Drosophila melanogaster: one gene and its partner. The protein of the gene in region 1 purifies or fractionates together with the protein of each later gene. This does not show direct contact. Each region holds a gene or a part of one and is shown on either strand. Other genes may lie near its edges.

The links.
Region 2: the proteins of Top1 (region 1) and Topors purify together in Drosophila melanogaster (affinity purification with western blotting, with the first as the bait; one study listed by BioGRID). This does not show direct contact.

Annotation. Positions count from the first base shown.
Region 1 is NC_004354.4:15,317,858-15,322,735, forward strand, and holds the start of Top1 (topoisomerase 1), read left to right. Parts: upstream 1-1,634; 5' UTR 1,635-1,923; coding exon 1,924-1,950; intron 1,951-2,096; exon of another isoform or gene 2,097-2,180; intron 2,181-2,511; exon of another isoform or gene 2,512-3,160; coding exon of another isoform or gene 3,161-3,175; intron 3,176-3,296; coding exon 3,297-3,514; intron 3,515-4,003; coding exon 4,004-4,878. UniProt on the Drosophila melanogaster protein: Releases the supercoiling and torsional tension of DNA introduced during the DNA replication and transcription by transiently cleaving and rejoining one strand of the DNA duplex.
Region 2 is NT_033778.4:18,970,760-18,977,865, forward strand, and holds Topors (topoisomerase I-interacting protein), read left to right. Parts: upstream 1-1,852; 5' UTR 1,853-2,179; exon of another isoform or gene 2,180-2,238; 5' UTR 2,239-2,567; coding exon 2,568-2,963; intron 2,964-3,023; coding exon 3,024-3,484; intron 3,485-3,551; coding exon 3,552-4,966; intron 4,967-5,133; coding exon 5,134-5,978; 3' UTR 5,979-6,503; downstream 6,504-7,106. Other genes in the region: prod (proliferation disrupter), read right to left, coding at 37-249; CG15107 (uncharacterized protein), read right to left, coding at 832-1,016, 1,070-1,427, 1,486-1,674; CG18605 (uncharacterized protein), read left to right, coding at 7,069-7,106. UniProt on the Drosophila melanogaster protein: Functions as a ubiquitin-protein E3 ligase. Negatively regulates the transcriptional repressor hairy/hry by promoting its ubiquitination and subsequent degradation. Also directs the nuclear organization of the gypsy chromatin insulator.

The DNA of each region.
Region 1 (4,878 bases):
TACAAAGTGTCCCTAATTCGTACCAACCAATAGAACCAATAATTCAGGGTTACTTCTCGTTCGGTCAACTGATGGGTAACTGCTGCGGTACAGTTTAGGTACAGATACAGATACGGATAGATAACCTTTAACCCCAACTTATGAGTGAGCCTGAGACAAGCATACTTTAGATACCCTGCCCACATGCACACACTCACATATATATATATATATATATATATATATGTACATATATACACTGTTTGTTCAGTTTGTTGTTTTTAACTTCCTGTCCCACGTAGAAGGACTTTTACATGCATGTAGAACTAGTTACCGTTACCGTTTCCGTTTCCGATTTCGTTTAGAATGTTAGACACATACATATTTAGTAGCTTAATCCAATCACAGCTGATTCTTTTGAACACAACTTGTTATTTGCTGATCCCAATTTTCTAAAACAAAAAGATGGTAGAACAAATATGAATAGAAAAGAGTCACGTCAATTTGCATCGAAAGCGGAAACGGCAACAAACACCCACAAAGGATTAAGATAATGATATAAGTAATGATTAGCGTAAATGGGAGGATTTAAACAATTATTATGCTAAATGAAATATACTATTAAAAACCTATGTACCATACGTTGTGCGTAATGCCCAAACTAAACGTGATAAAAGACTGTTACCAACTACATACACACATACATAATACCGAGATGGAAACAACCGTAAATCTAAAACTAAAACCTAAACTTAAATCGGCATAGTTTCGCATGAAAAGGTAATATATACATACATACATAAATATAACAAATATATTCATACGCGCACTAAAAGGAAGCGTTGCATAGTTTAATTACATTTACCGTACGAACACTTTTTATAGATGTTTAATGTTGTTATGGTTAAGATAAATCCGGACGAATTGATGGATTTTGGCCAAGCACGGTGCACTGCATATATGTAGCAAGTGAGCCAAGTACAATTTACACAAATGTATACATAATTAGATGCATATATGGTTCGATGTAAACTAATAATAAATCGATGTAAAAGCGTAAAAACGGAAGTTAAGAAACCACACACACACACAAACACACACACCCACAAAAACCAGAAAAAGCTGAGGCGACAAAAATATGAGAACTCTGTTAAATGTTTGTTATGCATTTGTTTTTTTTTTTATCTAAATTAATATTAAACTAATGTATTAGTGAATAAACTTGTGTACCTACATACAAAACAATGATAAAGCAGTTATGGCGGTGGTTTTATTTGTTTTTCTTCCAAAATAATAATTGCAAGAGCTGTACGAAAGTAATAAATTACTTCGATGCCAGAACGTTAAATAATTTCTTTAAATGTTTTATATTTCATTTTGTGGCATTCAATGCTTATTTTTTTTTTTTTGAACGTTTGGCGCTGCATTTACCACAATCAGTGATTTAAGCAAATAGTGGGGAAAACCCTTTTGTGAAAGTGAAAAAAAGTTAGCTTTTTCTTAAAGTTATTCTAGATTTCGTATCAATTCAGTGCTCAGACTATCGAGAAAGAGTGAACATCTATCGACAGGCTAGTATCGACACGGGCACCGACGGTCACACTGTCCGAATCCGAACTATCAGCCTATCGCTCTCCGATAGCAGCAGTCGCTACTTGTCCGAACCAATCGCCTATCGGGGAGACTGCGTGGCTGCTGCGTTCCGTAAAACGCAAAGAAGCCAAAAAGCAAGGGCATTCGCATTGACCAAAGCACCAAACGCTGCTCCTTTTCGAAAAACTTCAGTGCGCTTTTATTTCCCCGCCGCTGTCACCGCTTTAAGGAGCACCAACATCTAATTATTGAAAATCCTAACGAACAGTTTAGTCGAACAGTGTAAAAGCGTGAAAAGAAAAGAAAGGAACGAATAAAATAAAAGAAAAACCGCTAAGCGAGTTCCGCAAAATGAGTGGGGATGTGGCTGCCGAAAATGTAAGTGCCCTAAACGAAATATCCATTCCTTTTTTATGTAATGTGCAAACGTGTTGAATGGGGGGACTTTGCCTGCCGCCTGCAGCCTGCCTGTCAGTCCCAAAAAATCAAGTTAAATTCTGAACCGCATAATTGTAGGGTGCACAGGATAGTTGCAAGTGTACCGCTCGCTGCTGGCAGCTGGCAGCGACGCCGACAGCGCTGCCAGCAGAGTGCGTAAAATACAACGAGCAGAGAAAAAAAAGTAAGAAGAGGTCTTTTGGTAATTGACGAAAATGGCGACAATGCAAGTGGGAAAAGGTGAAGGATGGTGTGAAGCAGGGAGGGGAAGAGCCGAGGCAGACGAAATGTATTTGGCACAGTGTGGCCGCAGCTGGCTGGTATTTTAATCAAAACTGGTATTTTCACCAGCCACTCGAACGTTGCCTTTCCACATTTTTCCCCCTCAAAAACACCCTTTAACTAACTCATTTCCCTGCATTTCCACTGCAACTTGCCTTATTTACGTTCGCATAGCGTCTCAATTTCCCTGTTCTTCGTAGATTACCACCAAGTTTGGTCACACTGCCCTCTTCCACACACATAATATCACATGTGTTTGCTGCTGTTGTTGTTGTTGTTGTTGGTTGTGGACCGCTGCTTTCATGTACATATGTAATTGCAAGTGTCCCATTTTGCAATTACACTTCTACATGCACATACATATACGAAGGTGTTCCGTCGTCTGATAAGACAGATGTGCCACCCCAAAACAGCCAAAAACAAATAAAAGCATTAACTAGAAAATGCTCCGGATGAATAATATGCAACCACAATAACAACAATAACCCCGTGGGGATGTGTTTGTGTGTGTAGCTGTTAAAAAAAAAAAAAAAAATGCAAAAAGTGTAAAAAAAAAGCAACGATTTTCTGTATTCTAAACGACTCTTGTGCGTGTGTGGGTGTCATTGTTTGGCAAGGTGTTTTTTAAATATATATTAACCTATTCCAAGTGATTCGGAAACAATTTTCAATTTCCTGTCGCCATCGCTCGGCGGCTCTTCTTCTTCGATTAACCCATTGCTGGTAGTTTAAAGTGAATTTTCCTACGCGGCATTTGTTAGGGTTGATTTTCACCACGTGGTGAGCGGATAGACACGAGATAATAGCCAATCATCGCCAGAAATCGAGAGGAAATCGAGTAGATCCACAAGCGACCAGTTGGGCCAACATGACGGATGCACAGGTTTCTGGCCCGGATTCACTCTCACTTTTCAGCTGGTCCATCTACATATATACGTACTAACTAACTGATACCATCTCCCTTTCTTCTTTCTTCCATCTCGCCATCTCTCTCGCGCCCGCAGAGCATCCACATACAAAATGGTGGCAGCTGCGAGGTGGTTCAATCCAACGGGGTGACCACCAATGGACACGGACACCACCACCATCATCACCACAGCAGCAGCAGCAGCAGCAGCAGCAAGCATAAATCCTCCAGCAAGGACAAGCATCGTGATAGGGAGAGGGAGCACAAGAGCTCCAATTCCTCCAGCTCGTCGAAGGAGCACAAGAGCAGCAGTCGGTACGTATGTAGGAGCAGATCGATTTGACTCGACTCTATGCGATTCGATTCGAATCGGGCCACTCGTGTCGAACCATCTGGAACAGTCCAAATAGGTCAAAGTCAGGAAAGGACAATGTAATCACCTGGGATTCATAATAGTGCTTACATTAAGAGACAGTTGTTCCCCATGTGCTCATTGTTATAGTTCTTATAATCAATTTACAGTGCCAAACTAATGAAATGTAGGTAGCTATCACTTTAAAGGTATTCCGTCTAAAATGGCCTAAGTTTCTATGTTCAGTTCCTAAGTAATTTAAATTATCTCCCAAGAAAGCGACTTTAGATAGAAGCTGGAAGAAAAGGTGCATATGTATATAGAATGAGAAACTGCAATCAGACCAGATAATTCAATATTATATACAGAGTAATGCTTTTTTCAGAGCTATAGATTAGGCTATAACATTTCACAAGGAATCCAACTAATAACCCTAACCTTTTACATTTTAGCGACAAGGATCGACACAAGAGCAGCAGTTCGTCGTCAAAGCATCGGGACAAGGACAAGGAGCGCGATGGCAGCAGCAACTCGCATCGCAGCGGCTCATCGTCCAGCCACAAGGATAAGGATGGGAGCAGCAGCAGCAAGCACAAGTCGTCGTCGGGCCACCACAAGAGGTCCTCGAAGGATAAGGAGCGACGCGATAAGGACAAGGATCGCGGCAGCAGTTCATCCAGTCGGCACAAGTCCTCGTCCAGCTCCCGTGACAAAGAGCGCAGCAGCAGCAGTCACAAGAGCAGCTCCTCTTCATCCTCATCGAAGAGCAAACATTCCAGTTCGCGGCACAGCAGCTCATCTTCCTCGAAAGACCAGCCATCGTACGATGGCGTATTTGTTAAGCCGGAGCCCGTTTCCCAACAGCTGATGCACTCGGGCTCGGTGGATGCTTTCCAGATGCAACAGCTCGGTAGCTACGAAGCCGCAGCCGCCGGCACCAATTTTAATGGCAATGGAAACGTTGCCGGTGCCAACTATAAGAACGGCTACGAGGAATCGATCGTAGACATCAAGAAGGAGGAGGAGAGCTTTAACAATCTGTCGCAAGCCAGCTCCTGTGACTACTCCATGTCCCAGTTTCGTGCCGATGAGCCGCCGTTTGTGGTGAAGCACGAGCAGAGCTACGCCGAAGAGGACAGCACCATGAACTACAATGATCACGACGACGACGCCGACGAGATGAACGACGACGAGGAGGATGTGCCGCTGGCCATGCGCAAGCGCAAACAGGAGGCAACCGATCGTCCTGATGGCGGCATGGATAACGACGATGACGACGACATTCCGCTGCTGGCGCGCAAGAAGGTTAAGAAGGAGAAGATCAAGA
Region 2 (7,106 bases), on another chromosome or scaffold:
GGTAACATTATTTGGGTGATGTAGTGGTACTCGTACCTTGCGCCACTCCTCCGGCGTCAGTGTGGGTCCGGAGCTGCACTTGTTTAGCCGGTCGGAGAGCTCCTTCCACTTTTTGGTCAAGTAGTTCAGGTCATAGTCGCGCGGCACTCGTCCGGTGGCGAAAATGGGGTCGCTCTCCATCATGTCGATGTACATTTGGTACTGCTCCGATGAGGTGCGTTTCTTGCGGCGGTCCATCTTGCCGTTCATCCGGGTATCCTTGCTCTGTGCCTGCGTGCTCGATGCCGTGTTTAAATAGCTGGCAAAAGCCCTAAAATGCAAATCGACGCCACCAAGCGATGCGAGATGTTCACAAACAATTTACGCATTTAGCGTTTGGGATTTTCTAGTTGCATTTTGTTGCTGTTGGCGCAGGGTTGCATTCGGCACGCCAGTGGTGCGCATCTGGCGGGAAGCCAAAAAAGCAATTAGATGCCATGCGATAGTTATGGCTAGATGTGCAATAAATAATTCAATTTTGTTGCAATAAAAACATGCGGATTCAGAAATGATTTGTCACAATATTTATTAGCGGTTTCATATAAATCAATAATACATTTCAAAATATATGTGCAAAAAGTATTTCGTCGAACGATATGCATAACAACAGTCTTAAAAACGACTAATTGGTATATGGTACACACTACTCAAGAATTTGTTTTCAACGAATGCCTACTGTACTACTTATTGAGCGTTCCGCGGCTTTTAATTCGAGGCGAAATCAGCAGGTCCCTCTGAGCTCACATATTATATTACATTATACATTATATCAATGTGCATGGCTAGCATGGGCTATAATTCCGGAACGTACTCGAATCCGGGATTATTGTACTTGAAGCGGGCTATCTTAAAGTGCAGCGATGCCTCGTGTATGTCCGAAATGCGTTTCAGCTGCTCCTGGATTTTCTCTCCATAGAAGGCAGACGGTTCTTTCGCGGCAGATTGATCAGATGTGACATCCGCGACTGAAATCAAGGCTATGTCCCTTTATAGGATATTTAGTATTTACATTAGATTTGCGTCTACCCACCTTCGTAGATAATCTCACTGGAACCATCGAGCCTTAGCTTTTTCGCGGCACTGTGACCATTGATGATCGTTGGGTTGGCTTGCTCGTGAGGCTCTGCTATGAACTGCTGGTACTGCACCTCCTCCTCCTCCTCCTCATCCACCAACTCCTCCAGGTTCTCATTCTCTTCTTCATCCAGTTCCTCTTGCTCCTCCATCAGTTCGTGCAGGCGCATCGAAATTCCCTCGCGAAAATTCGGTTCTAAGGAGAAGATCTGCAGGGCTCTGTTCTCCAGAGGAGTCATTGCATTGCTCTTGTCATCCGAGTTGATGCTGCGTCGGTATTTGGAGCGCGTGCTGTTCTTCCAGTCGTTGAGGCGCTATAAGCATGACACACTGTGGGCTTGTACACTCGATACCCAACTGGTTACAACATACCTTTCGCCATTCCTCGGGCGACAAAGTGGGACCCGTGGAGCACTTGTTTAGCAGATCGCTGAGCTCCTTCCACTTCTTGCCGTCCTGGGTGCGACTCAGTTTGTTGGCCGACATCGGGGGATTCTCCTCCATGAAGTCTAGGTATACTTCGTATTGGTAGTACGACGTCCGCTTGTTGCGTCGATTCATTTTGGGGATCCAAATTATGACCAACAATTGAAAACAAACAAATTGAAACAGACGCCACAAAAAGGCAATAAAGCAACGAGCTATCGATAACACAAACAATTAAGGCTCCGAAATTAAATACCAAAACCGAAATACCAAACTATTTTAGAAAATATCAAAATAATTGTTTGGTTCTCCTAGGTTCGAAAAGAAGTTTCTTGGAATTTGTAATTTACCCGCGCCACAATCTCACAAGATTGTGTAATACATCTAAAAATATTTATTTTTCTCAAAATATCACATTTCAATTTATAAAATAAATTGGTCTAGTTCTTTAAGCATTTTTTGTGTATTTCGTAATTTTTGTAACAAAGCTAGTCCTGCTTTTTCAATCAAGTTCAATCAGAGGGTAGAACAGCTAGTAGAACCGCTGACTCAACATATTTTCCAAACCTTTTTTATTTAAAATTTGTATTCTGAAGTAATTCAAAAGTATATCAATCTCCGTGGTCTGCAGCATTTAACTGTACGCGACGAACGGTATCACCGTAGTGGTCAAAAAAATCAAGTTTCCTGCATTTTCAGGTGTAAAATTAACTGAGATATAGTGCGATTTCTGGCCCGAAAATTGTGCTATTTTACAGAACAGGCCACTGACCACCACATAGACCGCAAGAGAATACGGATAATGCGTCCCCTAGCCCGGAAAAGGCCGCTGGAAAACGAGGATTGAGAACCGAATTGCGAACCAGATGATAGAGTAGCGTGCCAGCCAGCGAGTGCGAGCGAGAGAGGGCGAGAGGAGCAGAGTGAGAGAGAGAGGAGGACAGAGTAGACACAAAACTTCAGGCCCGAGTTCTCGCCCATCTTACGGCCGATTTTACAGCCCATATAGCCGCTATATAGTCGCCAGAATGGCGGAGGAGAATCCCGGAGCTCTTGCCGCCAACGTGCCCTATTTGGGAGTGGATGAGTTGGGCGCATCGGTGATTGTGGAGCCTGGTTTGGAAGGATCCAATGCCGGAGGCCGGACGCTACCGGCTGCGGCCATTAAGTTTGCTGATCTCACCGAGAGCGGCAGTGAGTCGGGAGACAACGAGGCCGAGGAACCTGTATCCGCTGGCCCGGATAATGCCAACGCCATCGGTGAGCCGGGCACCAGTGCATCCGCCGCGGAGGAGAACGGAACAGTAGAGCGCAACTCGCCGCCGCCCAATTGCGCCATCTGCTTGTCCCGCTGCAGGAGGAAGTGCTTCACGGACTCGTGCATGCACCAGTTCTGCTTCAAGTGCCTGTGCGAGTGGAGCAAGGTAACCAGTCCGCAGGCGAGTAAACCATTATTTTAACCATCTAATTATTCTCGATTGCAGATAAAGCCCGAGTGTCCACTGTGTAAGCAGCCCTTCAGAACCATCATACACAATGTCCGCACCCTGGACGACTACGATCGCTACCCGGTGCAGACTACGTCGCCGGTTCCAACAGAAAATCCCTCCCTACGTTACCACATTGTGAGGCGTCCCAGGTACACGCCGCTGGTGCAGAACCAGGCCGTCATTGTCAACGACATCGAGGCGGCCATAGCGGCAGGAGCTGCTGGTGAAGATGTGCTTTCGGCGGCAGAAGTAGCAGCTGGCAGGCGATCGTACAGCCGCTTTGAGCCGTATCGCTCGGAGCTGATGAATTACTACCAGCACGATCAGGATGCATCCACGTCGGGTTCATTGAGCCAGCTCTGGCGACGTTATGTGTACGATAGAAAGCTGTATGCTCTGCCCGTCAGCGACAGCGTGACTGGACACTTTCGAGAGTGGAGCGCCCGTTTTTACAGGTCTGTTCGTATACCTAAAACCGCATACTTAACCATACTGATTTCGATTTCAAATCCTTGCTTATAGAAACAATCCTGCTCAGATTCATCGCCTGATGCCTTGGATCCATCGCGACATCATGTGCCTACTGAGGAATGCCGCACATAGCGTAAATACTGTGATGACTCTGATGAGCGACCTCCTGCCCATGACTAGCTTACTAGGTCCTACATTCCGTCGACGGCTGTCGCCGTATCTCGGCGAGCGCACCAGTCACTTTATCCACGAACTGTTTAACTTTGCCCGCTCCCCGTATGACATAAACGGTTACGATCATGTGGTGCAGTATTCGGCACGAGTGGCTGAGGAGGTGGAGGTGGATCTGTTGGACATGGTGGAGACACAATCCTCGAACGGTGATGATCTGAATTTGGAGGTCGGAGATAGCGATGCGGATGCTATAAACGCTGGCTTCTCTCCGGATTGGAGCCCCCCTAGGGTACGCCCGTCGACCAGTGTGATTGTGACCAATCCTGGTGCCACACATTCCTTCAGCGTGACAATGGCCAGTGATGGCAGTGAGCTGCCGGGGATTTCCATACGCCGTACAACCAATGTGGGCTCACAAACGGTTGCCATTAACCTGAGCATGAGGCGCCCAGCGGCGGTTGCCAGCGAGGAACCAGAGGTCATCGAGATCGACGACGGCGATGCGGCCGCAAATGCAGAGGTGGCGGCCATCAATGATGGCAGCAACACCAGTAGGAGACACGCAGGTGCTACTCTTCCAGTGACGGCGCACATCGAACTGGAGAGCAGCAGCAGTTCCGGCGATGAGGATGAGTGCGTCTTTGTGCTGGAGCTGAAGCCACCACACATGCGCACTCCCGAACAGGTGAGCCTTGACTCAAATAGTGACTCCGATGTGGTGTTCGTAAATGAGCAGCACGAAGCTGCGCCGGACGCAATTGCCGAAAACCGGTCGACACAATCCCCTTTGGATCTGGCCTCCAGGGATCAGGGCCTGTTTATGGGGCCCAGCACAAGTGGCGCAGCGGCCAACAGAGGCAAGAACTGGAAGCTGGTCATGGCGCAGACACGGCGCCTCGATCAGTTGCGCACGCTGCGCTCTATACGTTCGAAGAAATCACGCCGTTCATCCATGCCTGCCCGCAGTGACAGTGGCAGCAGCCCCAGCAGCTGCAGCAGCTCCTCCTTTCACTTCAGCAGCAGCAGCGATGAGGATAGCAGTGACAGTAGTACCACCAACTCCGAGCCACCCAAGAAAAAGTCACGCAAGCGAGTGGCGAATAATAAGCGCTCTAAAAAGGAGTCAATCGGGAAAAGGACATCTCGTAAACGGAAGGCCAAAGACCAGAATATGGAAATGCTTGAGCAGCAGCAGATAAGCCAAAAGAAGCCCCAGCGCCAACCGGAAAGCAGCAGTGACAGTCCAAGTTCGTCCGATGACGAGTCAGGTGGCGATAGCAGCGAGTCATCCGGTAAGTGGTTTGTGAATCTAGACGGTTCTTATCAGCATGTATGAATGTATGTATAACACCACACATTCTGAACAGGAAAACACTAGAATGATCTCTAAAAACAATCAAAAAACTATTTATTATCCTATCAGATCAAACTTGTATAATTACACAAATTTGTTTTCTAGGTCAACCCAACACGAACAACAACAAATCCAGCAGCGATTCCGATGATGATAGCGCTGTAAACATGCAGCTCAGTGCCTTGCGCGCCACACTAAAAGCGGAGGCAACTCTGGAGGATAGGAAACCTGTAAAACTGGAGCTTCAGTTGCCGGATGACGACCAGGCGGGGCCCCTCCACTCACGGATGACTCCATCGCCGAGAGAGGATAACGAACCGGGTTGCAGTGCACCGAAACGGCGACGCAGTTGCAGCCACAGCAATCAGTCCAGCCAGAGTGCCAGTTTGGCCAGCAGTTCGACAGCCACCTCGAGCTCGGCTCCATTAAGTTCGTTTGCCTGGGGAGCAGCGGGCTTTTCCGGCGATCCGCTGATGCGCGGACATCCGGCGATGGAAGAGCACGACATAGCCAACTCCCTAATCGAACTGTCCACTCTAACGCAGCCTGTGAACATCGGACTCTTCAACGAGCATTATAATTCGGCAGAGAATTCCATGGGCATGCTGAGCAACACGTTGTGCGACAGCCCACAAACTTTGGCGGCGGATGACGCCAATCTAGAGAACTATTTCGATACAGATGCGGATCCGGAGGCCAGCCGTGAACGGGATGCCTATTCGCTGGAGGCCGCAATCGATGTAGTTGGCGAATCAGAGTTGCAAATCGCCGAGGATACAGCCACTGCCACCGAAGAACAAGATGAGGAGGACGAAGAGGATGAAGATCAAGAGGAAGACGACCAGGAAGAGGAAAAAGCTGCGGAGGAAGAAGAGGAAGAGGAGGAGGACGACGATGATAGCGACAACCACGATGAAAACGATGAGAATCAGGGACTACTGCCGTATTAAGCATAAGCCACTGATTTAGATTTTCATTTAAGTTGCTAGTGTAAGGGAATGTTTAACTGGTTTCCGTCTTGTCTTGTTCCGATTCCTGAAATCCCCAAACCCCATAAAATAATATTTGTAATTGTAACTCATGTATTGTAGGCCTAAGATTGCCATTTTAAGTTGTACATACATATATAAACACCCATCCCAACATTATTTAAATGTTCTGTCATACATACATATACCACCCCCCCCCTTCCACATCAAAAGACGCATTCAATATCCCCCTGAAGAACATCGATTGTAAATGTATTCACGTAGGTTAGCGGCATCTATAACTAACTAACTATAAACAATGGCAACTAACTTTACTATCGTAGCTTTTAAATCGTAGAATTAGCGCTGATCAATGTATGAGGAGGGTGTTAATGTTTTTTGCATAAGTGGGCGTGGCCAGTTATGAATTTTAGTGTACTCAACATACAATGAACAAAAGATATCTGTAATACGAATCAAATACATAATAAATGTAAAGATTAAATTAAAGATAAATAAGTGTCATTTCATATTTCGTAAAGTTCTAAAAGTAATTCTCATTGGATCAAGGATGCCCCCCGGCATAGGCACCTTGCGCATTTTTTTTTTTGTTAAATTTATGCATATTTTGTTTCAATTCAATGTTTCCAGTGATTTCAGAGTATATTCGATTTCCGATGTCCCGATTTGTCACGATTTGCAGGTTAATTTATGGCATTGTCTAAACAGTCCCTTACTTTCCACACTTGACATTAGGCATCGTGTAGATGCGCCCCAAATAAAAACGTGCCACAGAGCCGTTGTGCCTGCGCAATAAGCAAAACTTTTTCGCTGAGTTTCAATTGGAATTGTTTAAAGAACGAGCTAATTGTTTAATTCCTATAAGGTAAATACTGTATCATATTGCACAGCTGGAAAAGTTCCATTTCGCGAGCGACAGTGAGCAGTGAAATCAGTATTAAATCGAATTTGTGATTGACAATTCCAGGAATTTTCGTTCACGTGTAAAGTTTCTGTTTCTGTTTTTTCTTCGAACAATTTCGACATTGTCGACACGTGGAGTGCAGCAACAATGATGCCACGGCACATGGTCCAATGGCGCATATATGT